2 linked regions of the Oryctolagus cuniculus genome follow. The protein of the gene in region 1 interacts with the protein of each later gene in a pairwise test. Links are inferred from orthologs where the notes say so. Each region holds a gene or a part of one and is shown on either strand. Other genes may lie near its edges.

What was found. The genes of interacting proteins can lie anywhere in the genome.
Region 2: the proteins of TP53RK (region 1) and TPRKB interact in binary tests that used the Homo sapiens proteins (3 or more experiments, as listed by UniProt). The link is inferred for Oryctolagus cuniculus from reciprocal best matches to the Homo sapiens genes TP53RK and TPRKB.

Annotation. Positions count from the first base shown.
Region 1 is NC_091442.1:12,875,471-12,885,414, reverse strand, and holds TP53RK (EKC/KEOPS complex subunit TP53RK), read right to left. Parts: upstream 5,229-9,944; 5' UTR 5,177-5,228; coding exon 4,900-5,176; intron 3,790-4,899; coding exon 3,311-3,789; 3' UTR 3,211-3,310; downstream 1-3,210. Other genes in the region: SLC2A10 (solute carrier family 2, facilitated glucose transporter member 10), read left to right, coding at 8,840-8,867.
Region 2 is NC_091433.1:129,224,592-129,234,555, forward strand, and holds the start of TPRKB (EKC/KEOPS complex subunit TPRKB), read left to right. Parts: upstream 1-3,636; 5' UTR 3,637-3,784; coding exon 3,785-3,846; intron 3,847-4,227; exon of another isoform or gene 4,228-4,360; intron 4,361-5,823; coding exon 5,824-5,986; intron 5,987-6,839; coding exon 6,840-6,962; intron 6,963-9,392; coding exon 9,393-9,569; intron 9,570-9,964. UniProt on the Homo sapiens protein: Component of the EKC/KEOPS complex that is required for the formation of a threonylcarbamoyl group on adenosine at position 37 (t(6)A37) in tRNAs that read codons beginning with adenine.

The DNA.
Region 1 (9,944 bases):
TAACTCTGCCTGTCAAAAAAAACAAAAAACAAAAAAACAAGTGCTCAGCTGAGGTGTGGCATGAATGCATGATCAAGTTCAAGGACGGGAAGGAGGGAATGAAGCAAGGCAGGGAGTTGGGAAGCAGAGGAAGAAGGGAGGAGGGAGGAGAGAAGGAAGTGGAGGACCTGCTTGCCCAGCCAACGACAGTGACTGCGACCTCTGGTGGCAAAGGAGAGCCACAGTCCTTTGGAGGTGCAGGGCCTTGAATTAAGTACGCAAGACAGACTCCTAGCTCCGCTTGTTAGAAGGTCTGGCCGCCAGTGCCAGCCTGGTTAGGACTAGGACGAGGCAAGGGATGAACTGTAACAGGGTAAGAGGGAGCCAGGTAACTCAACATAATCAAGACAAAGATTTTAACACAATTGTTTAGAAAGAAATTAGCAAACTAGGACAAACGTGCATGTTTTTGTAAATAGTTTTACTGAAGCCAGGATCAGGATTAGGGTTCTCTTTCCTACCTAGGGCAGGCACTGCACCCTACAAGCTTTCATTAACCCGGGTGTTCCCAAATGCCCCAGCAGGTCTGAGTGTGCCCGGCTCCTCTCATCTACCAAGGCCGAGCCTCGGCTGGAACACTCGCCAGGCCCTGCCTTCAAGGCGTTAACTGCGTCCTGGAAGCATTTCCAGGCCTGTGGACCAGCTACAGCCCTTGTCGATGACAGGACACGGACCCCTGTCCATTTCAGTGCTGGACACAGCCCAGGTCACAGCCCACTGCATTCAGTCAATGATCCCGGGCAAGACCAGGCCCAGCTGCCTCCTCTGTACGATGAGTTAGTGCATGCGAGAACCTAGTGACAACTCAACTACTTACTGGGGCTAAACAGTTGGGTGCAGGGGCCGGTGTCATGGTGTAGTGAGCTAAGCTGCTGCCTGGGAGGCCAGCATTCCATATCTGGGTGCAGGTTCAAGTCCCAGCGGCCAAGCTCTGACCCAGCTCCCTACTAACGCACCTGGGGCAGCAGCAGCAGATGGCCCAGGTAACTGGGCCCCTGTCACCCATGTTCCAGGCTCCTGTCTTTGGCCTGGCCCAGCCCTGGCTGTTACAGCCATTTTGGGGCATGAACCAGCAGCTGGAAGCTAACTCTTCTCTCCACCCCCCATCACTGTCTTTCAAATAAGTCATTTTTTAAATTGGGTTTGAATCGCAGCTATCACTTACTGTGATCCTAGAGCCCCCTCACACTGCTGAGTGTTCTGCACCTGGGATGGGGGATTGTAACCCTTGTTGGGATTGCAACTCTGAAGGCCCCTTAGCCCTCGGGAAAGGAACCCTCGGCTCCCCTGGGGCTTCTGTCAGAACACGGATGCGACAACACTGCTGGGAACAACCCTGGCTTTTATCCAGCCCCCAGCATTCCGATCTCTCCCCTCATTAGTGCTTCCTATGCTGCTGCCTCCCCCCACCCACCCCACGGCTGCTGGCGGCCACATTCCACGCGCTGCCGGGTGCCATGCCCCGGCCAAGGGGTTGCAGCACACTCCCCACTGCTTCCGCCGCCACCACCACCACCACCCCCAGCCCCAGCTACCTCCCTAGTGGCCCAGCCAGGTACAGCAGCCTTCTCACTTCCTGGCTTCTTGCTCCCCCTCTTGCCCCTACACTTTCTGTACAGGCATCTAAAGCAACCCTTTCGAAACACTGATCGGATGTCACCCTGCTTTAGTCCCAGTAAGAGTAAAATCCAGCCTGTGACCGCCCGGGCTCTACCCAGCTCTCCAATCCCATCCTCTCTTCATCCTGGCTCCCTCACGCCAGCCACTGCAGCCTTGCCGCCCCGCCCCTCAGGGACGGTCCTCGTCACCAACTTCCGCAGGGCACACTTCGCCCATCTCCTGAATTGCTCGTTCTTCACATCTACCCTCACCCCTGCAGTACACCGACTTGGGACTTCCTCACTTCTCCCAGGCGCTCTCCAGGGCCTGGCACACAGCACACAACAGGGATTTGCTGACTTATGCCCACAGGCGTGGATCAACCAGTCACACGCCCCACGAGGTAAGTATTAGGCTTGTAGTACAAACGAAGAAACTAAATGAGCCCTCTCAGTCACGCTGAGTCTATCAATTCAAACAAAGTCACTGGCAGCTCCCGGGGCCCTGCAGTTCTTCAAAGCTGCTGGGAGCCCCTCCGTACTATCCTAACACAGAGATGGGTCATGTCCAGTATCTCCTACAGACCAGGGGAAGACAGGGGCTTTGGCGCCAGGGACAAGTTCCTCCTGCTCCTGTGACATCGTGAGCAGTGAGCTCCTTTCTAGTCTGTTTCCCCAACCATTCAAAGACAGTACCTGACTCAGAGCTGTTTCCACAGGCACAGTGCTCAACAGTCAACAGCCACGCGAGGGCTCCTCTCCCCCAGTCACTAGCAGGGAAGGGCCGCCTCCATTCAGGGCACCTGAGTGGACGCTGACTGTGCTGACCAAAACAGACATGGTGCCAGTCTCACCAGAATGTCCGTTCCACTGGAGCAGGCGCAGCCCTTTGTAAGAGGAAAGAGAAAATGAGGCTCTAGAGCACGTATCGTGCTTTGCCATGACCCTTAACAGAAACACGTCCGAAGCAGCTTTCAAAGCAGCTTTCATCAAACAGTGCGCTCTGCTACCTTCTGGTCGGACTCTATCCCACGAGTCTGAAGACGAGCTCATCACCAACGGTCTGATGTGTCACCAGCAGCACCGACAGCGAACGTTCTGCTCACCCAGCCACAGGCTGCTTTCGATGCTATGTCTACGCACCTGAGGCTTACACACCAAAGCTGAAAGGCAGGCCTGCCCTGGATTGACTTTCTCGTGAATCATTCACTCAAGAGACAGACAGATGAAGGCAGAGAGTGCACTCCCCTGCACTGGTTCACTTCTCATACGCCCACGATGGCCGGGGTTAGGCAGGGACCAGAGCCCGGAAGGCAATCCAGGTCTCCCACAGGGATGGCAGGGGCCGGTTACTCGAGCCATCACTGCAGCCTCCTAGGATCAGCGCTGGTGGGAAGCCGGTCGCGCCACACCCAGGCACCCCGAGACAGGACACAGGGGTCTCAACCGCTAAGCTGATGCCCAGTCCTGGATTGACTGCAAACACCCAGTTCTGCCTGGAGCACCTCACGCAAGCTCTTAGGAATACTCACTGCAGATGGCGACACTCAACAGGCATGACCACACACACGGCTTCAAAACAGCTCGATACATTTATTGAGGCCTAGTCTCACGTTTGTAGAGTCCAGATTTACCCTGAAGATCGGCCTAGCCTTGTGGAGCCGCCTCGCGTCCTACCCGACCATCGACCGCTTTCTGCCCCGCAGCCGGACTTCGTCCAGCTTTCGGAGCACTGGCCTGGCCTTCCTGGAGGCGCTGGCGTAGCTCTTCAGGAAGGCCTCGAACACGGGCTCGGTGTTCGGGTGGGTGCTGAGGAAGGCCTTCTCCAGGACGTACAGGTCCACGCCCTTATCTTCCGGAAGCCCCGAGACGAAGCTCAGCCCAAAGTCGATGAGCACGATGCTCAGCTGCTCCGCCGGGGGCTTCAGGAGCATGTTGGAGGTCGTGAGGTCCCCATGGATGAGGTCTTCGTCGTGCATCCGAGCCAGCACCTGCCCGATCGCCTTGGCCAAGCCACAGAGGCTCTGGGGGGTTCCTTCAGAGTCCAGGGTGGACTGGATATAATCCCGCACCGTGACTGAGCCTTCGATTTCCTCCATGTACAAGCAGTTGGAAGCATAGTCCACGAAAAAGACCACTGGGGCACAGATGCCTGGAATCAAGACGCGGGGGGTTACTGGGTTGCATTCTTGGTTTTTTCCCTTAGTCAAGGCTTCATTTTCAAAGTTAAGTGAGTCTTCCAGTCTTTACTCACTTCAGGAAACAGCTTTAGGAAACGGCACAACTCGACTCTGGAACATTCTCGGGCTCAGGCCTGAGACCATTAAACAGCCCGGGGTAGGGGGGCCAAAGCTTCCTCCTTCCCCACACTACAACTTGGGGCTGAACCCTAGTTCTCACACCAACCTGGGAGCCAGCAGGGGAGGCCCGGCCCAGACAGAAGTTTCTGGACACAACGGAGCCCGGCAGAGTGGCCACGGGGAGGCTCATTTCGCAGTCTGTAAGGGTGGAGTCCGATCCCTGCGCTTAGCAGCGGTGCGACCTCGGTTTATGCTACTCATGGGGTCGCCACCCTCAGTGCGCACAGTCAAGGAGGCCACGTTCTAGAAACGGAGACCTCTCCCGGGGCTACAGCCCACGATCCCCGCTGCACGGCGCCTGCAGCGCAGAGAGGGGTGAACACAGACGCCCGCAGCTTCCGGAACCGCAGAAACGCCCGGGACTTGTCCGCCTGCTCTCCCCCAGCTTCCCCGCGCCTCCCAGCCCCCGACATGGCCCTGGTGTGCAGGAGGTCGGGAGGATGTGACCCGGGAAAGCTGCTGCCGCTCTCCCAGCCCCAGGTTCTCGGCTGAGGTCGGAGTTCCCGGCGGCGGGGCACAGGGGTGCTTTCATGAAAAAAATGAACGAATGAAGTCTAACACGTGCCAGGCTGACATTCAAACACAGCCGGCGACCGCTCACAGCGCCCCCGGAGGCGGGCTCCCCAGCACCGCTGCCGCCTTGCAGGCAAGGACGCCGAGGCTGCGCGAGACGCGAGCCCAGAGAGCCCGGCTGCTGTGACGGAAACCCTGACACCGCACGCGGGAAAACCCAAGGCCAAGGCGGCAAAGCAACCGTGCACCACCGAGCAACAGTCAGGGCCCAAACGCGCCAGCAACTCGCCCGGAGCGCATCGAGACCGGGCGCGAGGACGACGCGTCCCGACCGGGGGTCCGGGCGGCAGGCGCCAGTGCACCCCCAGGCCCCGGCCGCGCCGCCTCACCTGCGCGGCGGCAGCGGAGCAGCGCCCGCGCCTCCTGCACCGTCCGCCGCCGGCCGAGCCGCGCCTCCAGCGTCGGGTGCCGGTAGCCCTTGGGGAAGCGGTGCTTCACCACGGCCGCCCGGCCCTGGAAGCGGCCGCGGAACACGCGCGCCTCGGCGCCCTGCTTCACCAGCTGCAGGCCGCTCAGGAAGCGGCTGCTCCGCTCCAGGGCCGCGGCCAACGCCTCCGCCGCGGGCTCTTCGTGATTCTCTGTGGCACCAGCGTCGGGGGCCGCCATGGCAGCGCTTCCGCCCTCCCCGGAAATGCCGGCGACGCTTCCGCTCGCTCCGAAAATCCTCCGGGCTCTTCCGCCTCTCTAGCGGCTCCCCCTGCAACACTTCCGCCCTGGGAAAATGGTTCCGCCTCCCAACTTTCGGCTCCTGTCAGAGCCTTTGGTGCCCGCAGCGAACGGCTCTGTGACTCCGCCCCCAGCCCTTCGGCTATCTCCGTAAACGCTCGGCAACTCTCGGGAAATCGTTCCTCACCACTGCTCGGCACTTTCCGGAAGCCCTCGGTGACGCTGGCGAGCTGCCGGGGGCGGGGGTGCTCGGCTCCCAGTTCTTCGGCTCTTTCCGGAAAACTTCGGCTACTTTCGATTAAAACGATTTTTGGGGTGCTCTTTGCCCTTCTCAGGAGTTCCTCAGGATCCTGGAAAGCTTTGCGGCCAGTAGAGCCTTTTCGGAACTCACAAGGCTCACTGCAGTCAGAGCGGGTGCTGGGATAGCAACCACCGTTTCTCTCAGCGCCTTGGGGAATAATAAGGTTAAACGGTGGAAAACCCTCCTTACAGAAAACAGACTCAGGACTATGGTGATGGCCAGATCACTGGGGCCGAGAGGGGACAGAACCTAACTGTGTTGCAGAAATTGATGACTTTATCACAAGGCTGATAGGAGCAGTAACAGATTCTTGCTATAAAGAATTTTGCACTCAGTCATCAAAGATTGCTATACTCCTCACCAGGCCCCACAGAACTTTATATGTATCATGCCTTTCTAGATGCATTTTTAAAAGATTCGTGTATTTATTTATTTGAAATAGTTACAGAGAGAAAGGAGGAGACAGAGAGGTCTTCCACCTGCTGGTTCACTCCTCAAAAGACCATAATGGCCAGGGTTGGGCCAGGCCAAAGCCAAGAGCCAGGAGCTTCTTCCTGGTCTCCCACAGGGTGCAGGGGCCTGAAGCCTCGAGCCACCCTCTGCTGCTTTCCCGGGCCATTAGGAGGGAGCTGGATCAGAAGTGGAGCAGCAGGGACTCTAACCGGCACGCACGTGGGATGGCGGGTCACAGGCGGCAGCTTTACCTGCTACCCCACAGGGCCAGCCCCTCCACATGTTTTTATACAATGTGCATGCACACACATATCATTGTGAGGCTTCTCCCCCAACAGAAATGAGAATATGATGCACATTATTTTGCTACTTGCTTTTTTCCCCCTAAGCAGTTTGTCCCAGATAATCTTCCTTATCAGAATATCTAGAGCTGCCACATCCTTCTACAGGGTCAAACGGTTCCTTGTTGCTAAGTTTTAGTACATTTCTTATTGTCGTTTTACTTTCTCTTACGAAACGCTGCGATGAACAGGCTGATCCAGGCATCATTCATTGCAGCATGCACAAGTGTTTCTGGGGACGTCTGTCTACAAGTGATGTCACTGGGTGCAGGAGACAAGCTCTTTAAAATCCGATCCGTCAGCCAAACTGCCCTTCCAAAGGTCTGTGTCTTTTTAGAGTTCTATGCAAGTATATCCCATTTCCCTGCACCCTCATCCTCTCTGATTTTCCCAGGTTTTGAAAGGCCTAACCAGGTAGAGGAATGGGAGAGTGCTCGGGTTGCAGGCCCAAAGAATGAACAGGAGGCAAGGCTGGCTTGGACAAAGGCCAGCAGCTTGGTCATGTGACCTAAACCGCCAGGGAACAGCTCTGTGCTTTGAGTCCTGTAGCAGTTGGGGGCCAGGTTACGCGACTGCAGCCAGGTGACCTAAACGGTGGATGAAATATGAGAGATGTTTGGTTCTCTCTTATGCAACAGTGGAGATCAGCCGTCTTCCACCCATTGCTTCCTTCTCTGAGCCTTATTCCACTTGTCAGCTGCCCCACTCGGCGAGCCGGGACGAGGGCGGGCAGCAGATATTGAATAGCTAAGGACTTGACCCAGAGTGACACCCAGCATTCCCACTTCCATCCTACTGGCCAGAACTTGGTTGCCTGGTCCCAGGCACAAAGGCGGTTGGGAAACCTATCCCCCAGCAGGGCAGCAGAGGACTCAGCCAAAACCTTGGGGGGGTTATTACCAAAACAGGAAGTAGAAGAGAATATTAGGGGACAGTTAGTAGACTGTGGCATGGCACAGTTTTGACATTTTGAGCTGCAAGTAACCCATTAGTCAGTTAGTTAACTAGGGTAAACAATGAGCTCACTTGTTATCTCACACCATTTCAGGAAGTGGAGTATTCCAGCGATGATTCGGTCATCTTCTGAAAGCAGGGTCACAGGATCTCTGCATTGGCACCCAGCAGCCTCGGTGTGTTGTTGCCATCCTTGCCTGGTGGGCATGAGATGGCCATCAGAGCTCCCTTCATCCTGTGAAGACACAACCGCATCGCATTCAAGAGGAGAGGCGTGAGCCCTTGCACACCGTATTTGCTGGTTCTCCCTTCTATGCTGACTGCCCCTGCAGGACAGTAGCCACAGCTGGCCCCTGTGTCCAGAAGAAGCTGGAAAAGTGTGCGTCTGGCATCTTCAGACTCTGCGGACAAAGCAGGGGGGAAGGCGGCTGGGCATAGCTCCTGGGGAGCCAAGCGCCGGTGCCCGTCACCCTGGGTGCCACGGCGGCCAGCACCATTTCTCCGAGTTGCAGGATGGGATAGTCAGCTGTCCTTCAGCAAGTGCCTGTTGCGACCCACTGAGGTATGGCCCACGTGGGTGCCCGATGGATGGCAGACCCTGCCTGTGCTTGGCTGCTTCTGCCTTCCCGCAGTCCCGGGATCCACCAGAGACTCTGCAGAGAGGTCCTGCCACTCGGCAGCCCCCGGGTCTCCTTCACACACACACACACACGCCAGGGCGCCTTCGCAACTGGCAGACCTCTATGTTGGGACCGTGTGGACTCCAGCACGGGTCAGCAGCCCACACTAGCAGAGTGCTCCCAGTTCCCCAGGCTGTGGCTTCCTTATCATAACCACTGGTGGCCGCATGGCCAGCTCTGTGGTTACCAAAGCCATCTGAAGCCCCGCTTTAGAAATCTACAGCGAAGGAAGGAAGGAAGGAAGGAAGGAAGGAAGGAAGGAAGGAAGGAAGGAAGGAAGGAAGGAAGGAAGGAAGAAATCTGCAGTGCACACTTGTCTACAAGACCCAGGCTCTACTCAGGCTGTTCGGGCTTCTACAGTAGGGAAATGAGTTTAGAATCTGTTGCCTCCCCACTGCACTTTGGATGAAGACCCAATCCTTAATTCAAACCACGAGGCTGTGCGTGGGACCCCCGCATCCTCCTCCCCACCCATCCCCCAGCAAGCCGCCCTGGGATCTCCACACTTCTGACATATTTACCTTCTGTGTCTCTTGCATGCTCCCCATGTGCCCCCCACCCACACCCCCGGCCAGAATTGCTCTTCCCTTACTTTGTTGCCACGGCCCGTGCAGGCGTGCTTCCGTTGGCAAGTGTCACCTCCACACACACGCAGGCTGAATTTCTGACTTGCTACCTAACAATATCACGCAGGTGGGTCCAGCCATGCCTGAAGCACATATTCCAATACCTGTGAACCGATACGTTTGCTCTGTGCTGCAGACACTTTGCGATAGGTCCCTGGCACTTGCAACTCAAAGCCTGCTGACTGCCAGGATGACAAGCCTGTGGACAGAGCTAATTTGCAGACAAGTGACAGGGCCAGCCACGCTGCATGCGAGCCAGTGCCATGACCCTGAGAAGTAAGTAAACAGAGTTACAGGCCCCTGAGGGTTCCTGGGGTCCTTTTGCTATCATCACACATTTGTTTTGTTTGTTTGTTTGTTTTTTGTTTGACAGGCAGAGTTAGACAGTGAGAGAGAGAGACAGAGAGAGAGACAGAGAGAAAGGTCTTCCTCCCATTGGTTCACCCCCCAAAATGGCCGCTACGGCCGGCGCTGCACCAATCCGAAGCCAGGATCCAGGTGCTTCCTCCTGGTCTCCCATGGGGTGCAGGGCCCAAGCACCTGGGCCATCCTCCACTGCACTCCCAGGTCACAGCAGAGAGCTGGCCTGGAAGAGGGGCAACCAGGACAGAATTCGGCGCCCCGACCAGGACTAGAACCCGGTGTGCCGGTGCCGCAGGCAGAGGATTAGCCTAGTGAGCCGTGGCGCCTGCTCACACAGTTGTTACGCAGCAATTTTGTGGCAACATCTAACTGCTGCAAAGGGAGGCATAGAGCCGTCTCCTTCCAGCGGCTCAGCCTCTGTGACTTCTGGGGAATGCTTGGAGACTTCGCCACGTGTGCCTGTGTGCCACCCACTCGCTCCAGTGCGCGTGCTGGTGGCCGCTGGGATGTATCCAGTTTGGGAGATGATTTTGCCAGCATCCTTGTTTTAAAAACAGAGTATTACACTGCTTCTGTACAGACCCCACTCTCAGGGAGGGTGTGTGTGTGTGTGCGCGCGTGATTGCAGGCGGTGAGCCTGGCAGGTAAGGCAGGAGTCCCTGATTCAGCCTCCTGCTAATGCAGACCCAGGGAGGCAGCAATGATGACTCAAATAGTCGGGCTCCTGCCACCCAAACGGGAGCCTTGGACCGAGTTCCCAGCAGCCACAGCGGGAAGCCAGGGAGTGAGCCAGCAGAGGTGAGTTCTTGCTCTCTCGCTGTGATAAATAGACAATTTTAACATCCAGATAGCAAATATTTTGGGCTTTGCATCATCTCTTTTGCAGTTCAACTCTGCTCTTGTAGTGTGAAAGCCACATGGAGTATCCGTAAATGAACAGGCGTGGCTGCGTCCGGGGACACTTGACAGCCGCCGCGGGCTGCTACCTGT
Region 2 (9,964 bases), on another chromosome or scaffold:
TAATGGCTTATCAAGGATTATGGGTTTCAGAGTGGATGTTTAGCCTAGGTGTGTCTGCATCCCACATTAGACTGCCTGGAGTTCCAAGCTCTGATTCCAGCTTCCTGCTAATGTAGACCCTGGGAGGCAGCAGGTAGCGGCTCAAATAATTGGGTTCCTGTCACCCACATGGGGGACTTGGACTGTGTTCCTGGCTTCTTTCTCCAGCCCTGGCCCAGCCATTGTGGGAATTTGGCTAGTGAACTAACTCTCTGTCTGCCTGTCTCACTAATGCTTCTTACATAAAGAAATTTTTTAAATGAAAAGAAATTTTATTAATAATTTTACTACATGTGTACAACTGCACTGATCAAATGAGAGTAGTCAACATTTCTCCTTTCGCATTATTTTGTGATTGGAACCTTGGAGCTGCTTTCTTTTAATTGCTCACAAAGTTTTTGTTTTTTTAAACAACTGATTTCCCTTTTGGGGTTCTTTTCACCCATTAGGTGGGAGTAGTTTTTGGAGTCTGAGTGTTTCACATGCCCCATTTGTTCAGAAAGCACATCTCGTGTTAGTGTCATTGTAAACACATAGTAACGGCATAGTTAGCAAGTCTGTGTGAGGGGGTCTTCAGAAAGTTCTTAGCAGATGAATACTTTGAAAAAACTGCATCAATTTCCCTTTTTCTGCACCAAAACTTTTCATTATTTTTCCATGAAATTTGAAGTACTCTCATATTGCAGAGAACAAGGTTGTTATCTTAGAAAATTCTAATTTGATACATAGAGTCTATACCCCTACAGCTGTAGATAAAGAATCAGCCTTATTTGGGGATGACTTTTTTCCTTTTTTTTAAAGAAAAACAGTAAAATGCATCCTTTTTTAATATACAGTTCTATAGGTTTGACCAGCATTTGTAACTACCACACCAAAATATGGAACAGTTCCACCCCTTCCCATATTCCCATCAGATCACTTGGCAGCCAATCATCCCGCCAACACAGGCCCCGGCAGCTGCAGTTCTGATTTTCACCGCTGTCCATTCGCCACTTGGGGAATGTCACGTAAATGCACTCATGGGGCATATAACCTTTCAAATAGGCCTTCTTGGGATCGGTGTTGTAGGGCAGCAAGTTAAACCACCACTTGCAACACCAGCATCCCATATCAGAGTGTGAGTCCTAGCTGCTCAGCTTCTGATCCAGCTTCCTGCTAACGCACCTGGAAAAGCAGTGGCTCATGGCCCAAGTTCTTGGGTCCTTGCCACCCACATGGGAGACCTGGATGGAGTTCTTGGCTTCTGACTTTGACCTGGCCTAATTCTGGCTGTTGTGGCCATCTGGGGAATGAACCAGTAAATGGAAGATATCCTTCTCTGTCCCTCACTCTACCTTTTAGATAAATAAATTTTATTTTAAAAATGGCTTATTTCATTTAGCATGCTGCTTTTGAGATGCATCCATGTCACTGAGTGCATCCACAGTTTATTCCCTTTTGCTAAAATAGTGTTCCATTGTATAAGTATGCCTTAGTTTGTCATATACAAGTTGAGGGATATTTGGGTCACTTACAGCTTTTAAATTTTGAATAAAGTTGCCATGAACTTTTGCACATGGGTTTTTATGTGAACATGTTTTTATTTCTCCTGGAGTGGCACTGCTTTTAGGGGATGAGGGTGTGTTTAATTTTATAAGAAACTGTCATGCTTTTCCAAAATGGCTCCACTGGGGCTGGCGTTGTAGCACAGTGAGTTAAGCCACCGCCTATGATGCTGGCATCCCATATGGGTGCGGGTTCACATCCCAGCTGCTCCACTTCTTATCTAGCTCCCTGTTAATGCACCTGTGAAAGCAGCAAAAGATGGCCCAAGTGTGTGTGCCTTGTGTGTGCCTTTGTCCCCGTGTGGGAGACATGGATGGAATACTAGGTTCCTGGCTTCAGCCTCACCCAACCCCTGTTCTCTCTGACTCTGACTTTCAAATAAATAAGTAAATAAATAAATATTTTTTTTTAAAATGGCTCCACTATTTCACATGCCCATCAACAAAGTATGAAGTTCCAATTACATAGTATTGTGTTTTTTATTTTGCCTATTCTAATAAAAAAAGATAAAGTATTACTTCATTGTTTAAACAGCATAAGAAATAATTGACATACAATACACAGTACATTTTTTTAAGTTATACTGTGTGACTTGCTTTGACCTAAATACATTATGAAGCCATTACCATCAAGGCAGAACATACCTCTTGCCTCAAAGTTTCCTCATGCCCCTTGGTTATTGCATTTCCACCCCAGGCCCACTATCTGAGCAACCACTGATCTATAGATAACAGAACCTGTAGATCAGCCACACTGTAAAAGGCTCCGAGGCCTTATCTCAGAGCCGCTGAACTGTTCGTTGCCTGGAACACTGGTCTCAGATTCAGCAGCTTGCTTGCAGACCTGCTGGCTTTTTGTGGTGCGATCTTTCTTCACCCACAGCCTGGCACGCGCCCCGCCCTCTTCTTGTTCTCCACAGCTTACTGACCTGTCTCCCCATGCAAAGGGATAAAGATGGGCGGCAGCCTGCAAACATGGAAGACAGTTTGAAAACTTCCTCTCCTGGAGGCCGAGCGTTCAGGGCCACGCACCCCATTTCTTTATCGATATGCAAATCGGAGCGCTGTCGGCTCCAGGGCCTCCTCCCTAAAAGACCGCTGTGAGAGCCCGAAGCAAACAGTCCCGAAAAAGACCCTGGGCATCTCCGGCAGCAGAGGCCCGGGCAGAGCTCATCTGGGACAATGCTCTGCCCTGCTCAGAGGGAAGGCGACGCCCCCTGCACGGCCCCACACAAACCCCAGACTACGAACTGGACCTCAGCTTCCGGCTCCGGCATCCTTTCCGACTCCTTTGCCGGAAACGAAGAACAGATCCCGTTCCTCTTCGCGTCCGCTAGCGGGACTCAAGGCTTGGGTGGAAGGGTCAGAGAGCAGGGACCACAACCTCCGGGATCCCAATCCGGCCGGCCTACCCGGAAGCGGCTCGGGGAGGGCGGGGATTGGGCACCACTTCCGGAAGCCGAGAGATTGGTTTCCCAGCCGGAGCTCTTCGAGGACGGACCGGAGGCGGCCGGTGAGTTCTGCCTGCGAGCCCGCGGGCCGGACTGGGAGGGCGGGCAGTGGGAGCGGTGTTCTTGCGGGTGTACGGTGCTTCGCGTAGATGTTTCTCCATCGCTGAGCGCTCGAGCAGATGTGGACGGGAAGGGAGGGAGCCCCTGGGAGGAGGCCGCGAGGTGAGGGGACGCCGGGACGCCCTTGCCGGGCTGGTGGGACAGTCGCGGCTGAGTTCCCAGAGCCGCAGGGCGACGAGGCCTGAGGTGCGTTTAGAGAGGGTCGCAGTGAGTGCAGCCGGGGTAAGATTCCGGGAGGCGGAGTTGTGAGGAGGCCTCTCTCGCGAGGCCGCTGCTGTAGATGGGACGGGTGGCCGGGGGACAGTTCAGCATGCCCCACAGGTTGTAAATTTCTGCCCTCTCAGTGAGTGAATTACGCCAAACGCAAGCAAACTGTGTTCAAGTCTTCTAAAGGTTCTTTTCTTCTAGTGTTATGTACTCAAGTTTGTGTGCTCAGCATAGGAAATTCAGAACATGTACAACAAAATAGTTCTGTAAAAGACAATACCAATCACCTAATAATCTTATTACCCAAGATGACCATATGTTGGTGTTTCCTTTGTGTGTGTGTGTGCATCGTTTGGTAATTGAGATCATAATGATTATTTTTCTGTATCTTTTTCATTGGACATCAGCATGATTAGAGGTTGAATGAACCATGTGTCAGGACATTTTAACACATTTATTTTTCTGCTTGCAACAGAAAATGTCAGGTAATTCTAGCAAGTCAATAACTTTTTAAAAGACCCCACATTTTGCTTTTTCAGATGTTTTTATTTAATGTTATTTATTGCTGTTTTCATACATCATCAAGGCTACAGTTGTAAATGGCTGTTTAGTTACAACCAATCCTGTCATTGGCTGAATAGGTTTTCAACTTTTCACTGATAAAACGACAAGAGGAGCATCTTGTTATGTAATCTTCACATTTCCAAATAATTCCTTGAGAAAAAGAAATCTGGGACCCACCAGATAAAAGGACAAAATGGCCCCATCAGATTTTCCTACCCAAATACCTCGTTAAGACTCTGAAGATGTTCCATTCAAGGAAGTGGTTAGGTCATTTGTAATAGTCAGCTTTTTCTTTCTACAATGCAGTACCTCGGATTGGGAAGCTGTGAGAGAAGGAGAATTATTTCAGCTCTTGGTTTGGAGGTTCACAGCCCAAGATCTGGTGGCCCTGTTGGCTCAGCATCTGTAATGGCATTCTTGCTGGAAAAGTCCCAGGTAGCACAGAGCATCACATGGCAAGTGGGAGTGTGTCCGTCTGCGGCTCCTTAGAAAGCCACCGTGGTCCCTGGGGGCTCTACCCAGCAACCTAATCCAATCTGATCACTTCCGAAGGGCCCTGCCTCTGAAATGATAGTGGATACATTAACATAAGACTTTGGGGACCAAGCCTTTAACAGCCGGGCCTTTGGAGGACAACTGGACTAATATCTAAAGCATAGCACCATTCTAGTTACTCAAGCTATCTTTTTTTTTTTTTTTAATTTATTTATTTGAAAGGCAGAGTTACAAAGAGGGGGTGGGAACAGAAATATCTTACATCCTCTGCTTCACTCCCCAAATAGCTGCATCAGCCCCAGCTCGGCCCAACCAAAGCCAAGAGACAAATTCCATCTGTGTCTCCCATATGGGTGACAAAAGCCCAAGAACTTGGGCCATCTGCTGCTGCTTCTCCAGGCACATTAGCAGGGAGATGGACTGGAAATGCAGCAGCCTGTCCTCGAACCATCACTGATATGAGATGCCAGTTTCTCAGGCAGCAGCCTACCCTACTATGCCACAATATGGGCCCTTTAAATTGTCTTTTTTAAAACTGTCTGTTAGGTCCAGCGTTCTGGCATAGTGGGTTAAGATGCTTCCTGTGACACCATCATCCCATACGGGTGCCAGTTCATGTACTAGCTACTCCACTTCTGATCAAACTCCCTGCTAATGGGCCTGGGAAAGCAGCAGAACATGGCTCAAGGGCTTGGGCTGCTACCACCATATGGGAGACCCAGAAGCAGCTCCTGGCTCCCAGCTTCAGCCTGGCCCAGCCCTGGCCATTGCTGCCATTTGGGGGAGGGAGCCAGTTGATGGAAGGTTCCTCTCTCTTTCTAACTCTGCCTTTCAAATAAATAAATAAAACGTCTTCATTTCTATCCTTTCCGTGTTATGCCTGTGTCTAAGGAAGGGCCAACATATTATTGATTCTTTAATAATCATGTCCTCTCTACCTAATTGCCATGTGTGGAATGAGTATCTTTGGGTAAGTTGTGATACTTCATCTTTCAAATTTTATTTTATTCCTTAACATTTGTGTGCAGGTCTTGCTAAAATACAAAGTGGTGAGCCAGAAAGTTACAAAGGCTGAGAGTAAGGTTTCATTAGTCCCACAGGTGTTCTGCTCCTAGCTATCTGCTGGGAAGCAGCCCCCTGGTGCAGCCCCCCGCACCCCAGCCTGCTCATCTGGACGAACAGACTGGCTGGTTAGACTTTCTTCCAGCAGCAGTAAAGGAACTACAGGCAGCTCAGTGGGCTTCAGAAGACAGATGTGCTTGGGAGCAGGGTTTTCTCGTTTAACCGTTCTGTGCTGCTGTTACAGCTACTTTTACTTATTTGTTGGCAAGGATACTGGTTTGTGAAGGAATGAATCATAATGTTAACAAAGGAAACTTATTAGTCTTTTTGGGTTTGTGCAGTGGAGTCCTGCTTATCTGTGAAATGCAGCTAATGCACCAGCTGGACCTGTTTCCCGAATGCAGGGTGACCCTTTTGTTGTTTAAAGATGTAAAAAATGCTGGAGACCTGAGAAAAAAGGCCATGGAAGGCACCATTGATGGTTCACTGATAAATCCTACAGTGGTGAGTACAAAATGGGAGAATGAAGGCACCACGCAGGCATTTAAGGCTGTGCCACTTTCTCACCATGCTACTGGTTAGCCTACAATCTTAGCATCAAGTGAAAAGTTCTCATCCAACTCAGACTTGGCCAACCTTGAATTTAACAGTGAGTGGACACAGAAGCACCAGGCCCTGCCCCAGGGAAAAGGAAAGGTAGTGTGGCTGACCCCCGTGGTGGACGCCAGGGACCCCAGCTGCTCATCTGTGAGATGAGCGTTGTGAGGAAGCCAGTCTGGAGAGGCGTGGTGCCGCGGTTAAGACGACGTGACCGGGACCCAGCCACAGCTCTGCTGCTTACTGCAGCTCCGAGCAAGTGACAGCCAGCCTTTATGTGGCACTGACGTGCTCCTAGGATTGCTCTAAGTGTCGTTCTTCTAATTCTGACTCACCTTCCCAACAACCTGGTGAAGTGAGTTCTGGCATTTTTTGTCTCTAACTTAGCCAGCTCCCCTAGGTGGGAGAGCTGTGATTCACACCCTGACACGCCACGCCTCAGTCTCCTCAGCTACTACCTGTGAATAATGTCAGTTTCTGTGGGTAGCTTTAGGATTAAGGATCATACAGGTAAAATGTTTTAGAATGGACCTTTCTGATAATATTAGCCCTGGATAAATGTTAAACATTCTTACTGTTTATTTAAAGTTTACTATTCTGATTTTTTTCAGTATCCAGACCTTTGATGTAATAGTTTTGAAAGTATACTCCACAAGAATTGTGATAAGCTAAGGCAGCTTGACACTGGAGCGACCCTGGGATAAGGCCCGTGTCTGCAGGGTGTGCCAGAATCTCTGATTCTTGTTGTTCTCTTTGGTAGATTGTCGATCCATTTCAGATACTTGTGGCAGCAAACAAAGCCGTTCACCTCTACAAACTGGGAAAAATGAAGACAAGAACACTGTCTACGGAAATTATTTTCAACCTCTCCCCAAACAACAATGTAAGGTGGCATTCACTGTTTCTTTTAACCTTGTCCTAATGATCTGTGTGTTCCCCAGACATGGGTCGGAGACTGAGTTCCTGCAAACCAGTTATTAGGAATAGACCAGAATAACTGCAAAGAGAGCTCTGGACAGAGAGTTGAGTGGAGCTCTGCCTCTGAATAGTTGAGTCGGCCTTGGAGCCAGTTTGCTTGTGAGGAAAACAGAAGTTGAGCTAAGCTAGGGAGGCTAGTTTTGTTTGTCCTTCTTAACATACGGGATTGGGAAGATCTCGTCAGTACTGATGTTTAAGAAACAGGCGGAAACCTCAATGACCAGACGTTAGGCACGGACAGTTGATGTGTTAGCAGGCACGTGTTTCACTCTCCCTGTAAACTTCTTGTCCTTTCTGTGTACCAGGAACTTACTGGTGATATGGGCCTTGATGTCTTAATCTTTTTTTTTAAAAGATTTTATTTATTTGAAAGGCGGAGCCAGAGAGAATTCCATCTGCTGGTTCACTCAGCGAATGGCCACAATGGCTGGAACTGCACTGATTGGGAGCCAGGAGCTTCTTCTGGGTCTCCCACAAGGGTGCAGGAGCCCAAGGACTTGGGCCATCGTCTACTGCTTTCCCAGGCACATTAGCAGGAAGCTGGATCAGAAGTGGAGCAGCCTGGACTCGACCCAGCGCCCATATGGGATGCCAGCACTGCAGGCAGTGACTTTTACCCGCTATGCTACAGCGCCGGCCCTGGTATCTTAATCTTTACTCTAGGACTGGCCCCGCACAGAGAGAATTCAAAGCAGAGGCATAATACAGTGCACAAGTGAAAAGTTTTTATTTAAAAGTGAGAGTGAATGTACATGCATGGTGAGTGGGCTGCCCCACACATAGAAATACCTGTCAAGAATGGGCCAGAGAGTGCCCATGAGAAGAGAGAGAAAGAAAGCCAGAGAAGGGTCCCCAAGCATGGCAAAGGGCAAAAGAAGGTCCCTCCTCTGTTATCAGCTGCTTTTATGAAGTAGGGGTGGTGTCAATTAAATAACAAATGGAGGGGAGGTCTTAGCATGCATGAGCTCTCTGAGATTTTTATGGCACATCCACTTCCATGTGGCCATCATGGCTTCTCCTTCTTGGACCTGGATGAGACACAGGTGCATCCTGGGAAGGCAGGCATGGTAGATTGACAGGTGAAGGGATAAAGCCTGCTCATACATCTACTACACAGGAAGAGTCCACAGCTTGAAATACTCACAATAATACTTTCCCAATAAGAGCTAACTGAATTAGGGACTGGCCCTGTGGGGTAGTGGGTAAGCCAACTCGTGTAGTGCTGGCATCCCACATGGGCACCAGTTCAAGTCCTGGTTGCTGCACTTCCAATCCAGCTCTCTGCTAATGTGCCTGGGAAAGCAGCAGAAGATGGCCCAAGTGCTTGGGCCCCTGCATCCATGTGGGAGACCCAGAGGAAGCTCCTAGCTCCTGGTTTCAGCCTGGCCCAGCCCCACCTGTTGGTTGCCATTTGGGGAGAGAACCAGCAGATGGAAAACCTCTCTATGTAACTCTACCTTTAAATAAATAAATCTTTTAAAAGAAAAAGTTATTGAGCTAAAGGCATTCCACACACTGTATATGCAAAAATGCCTGAAATTTTGCTAATGAAGTTTTAGTATTGCTGCTACTACTACTGTTAATAATGCAACCTGGTACTAACAGCATCAAGAGAAAAATTAGGAAACCTGTGGCATGGTCTGAAATACAGATAATTACAAAGTTTGTAAAATGCACTTGCCTCAGCCTGCTAATGGAATTCTCCAGTACCTGGAATACAGTTTACCAGATTAGTTATTTCTTTGAAAACATTTGAAATAATTCACGAAACTGTTCAATGGACATGGAACTTGTCCCATTTACAGTGCCAGGGGCAGAAAATGCAAATATATTCCTGAGGAAAGGCAGATAAACAAGACAAAAGTTAACGTGCCCTACAGTGAATATGGAAATATGATGTTAATTGTCGGGGTAACGGAAGAAGAAGGGTGTGGCAGAGTGGCAGCTGAACCAGGCCTTGAAGCACACATTCGGTGGTCAGGCTGCAGGGAAAGGGGGAGACAGAGTGAAATCTGGCAGGATCCCCAAGCCCGAGAGGCCAGGGGCATGTGGCTAGAGGGTCACTTGGGCCGTGGGAGTGGGCTATTTATGTGAAGTGCCAAGGAGTCTGGGCCTGATTCCATAGGAACCAGGTCGGCTAAAGGCCCGGGGTGCCTTGGAGACCCTAGCAGTAGTTGGTGGAAAGGGACGATTGAGGGGAAAAGCAGGCAGACAGCTGTTTCCAGGTGAAGAAGAACTGTACCAAGGAGGATGGTGGACCAGGAGGTGTTTCAGGTACAGGAAACCCCGACTCATTATCTTGATGCTTTTGGATTTTGTTTGTATTTTTTCTTAGATTTCAGAAGCTTTGAAAAAATTTGGTATCTCAGGAAATGATACTTCAATTCTAATTGTTTACGTTGAAGAGAGAGAAAAACAAATAAATCAAGAAGACCTAATATCTCAAGTGGAAGGGCAGCAGGTTTCTCTGGAAAAGCTTCCTGAAATAACAAATATTACAGAAGTCAAAAAGGTTCGTAAAACTTCACACAATTTTTTTTTTTAAGATTTATTTGAAAGAGTTACAGAGAAGGAGAGGCAGAAGGGAGAGAGAGGTCTTCCCTCTGCCAGTTCACTCCCCAGTTGGCCACAGTGGCTGGAGCTGCATGGATCTGAAGCCAGGAGCCAGGAGCTTCTTCCGGGTCTCCCACGTGGGTGCAGGGGCCTGAGGATTTGCGCCATCTTCTACTGCCTTCCCAGGTCATAGCAGAGAGCTGGATTGGAAGTGGAGCAGCCGGGCCTCGAACCAGCGTCCATATGGGATGCCAGCATTGCAGGTGGTGGCTTTACCTGCTATGCCACAGTGCTGGCCCCTATACAAACTTTTTTAAAAGATTTTATTTATTTGAAAGAGCTACAGAGAATGAG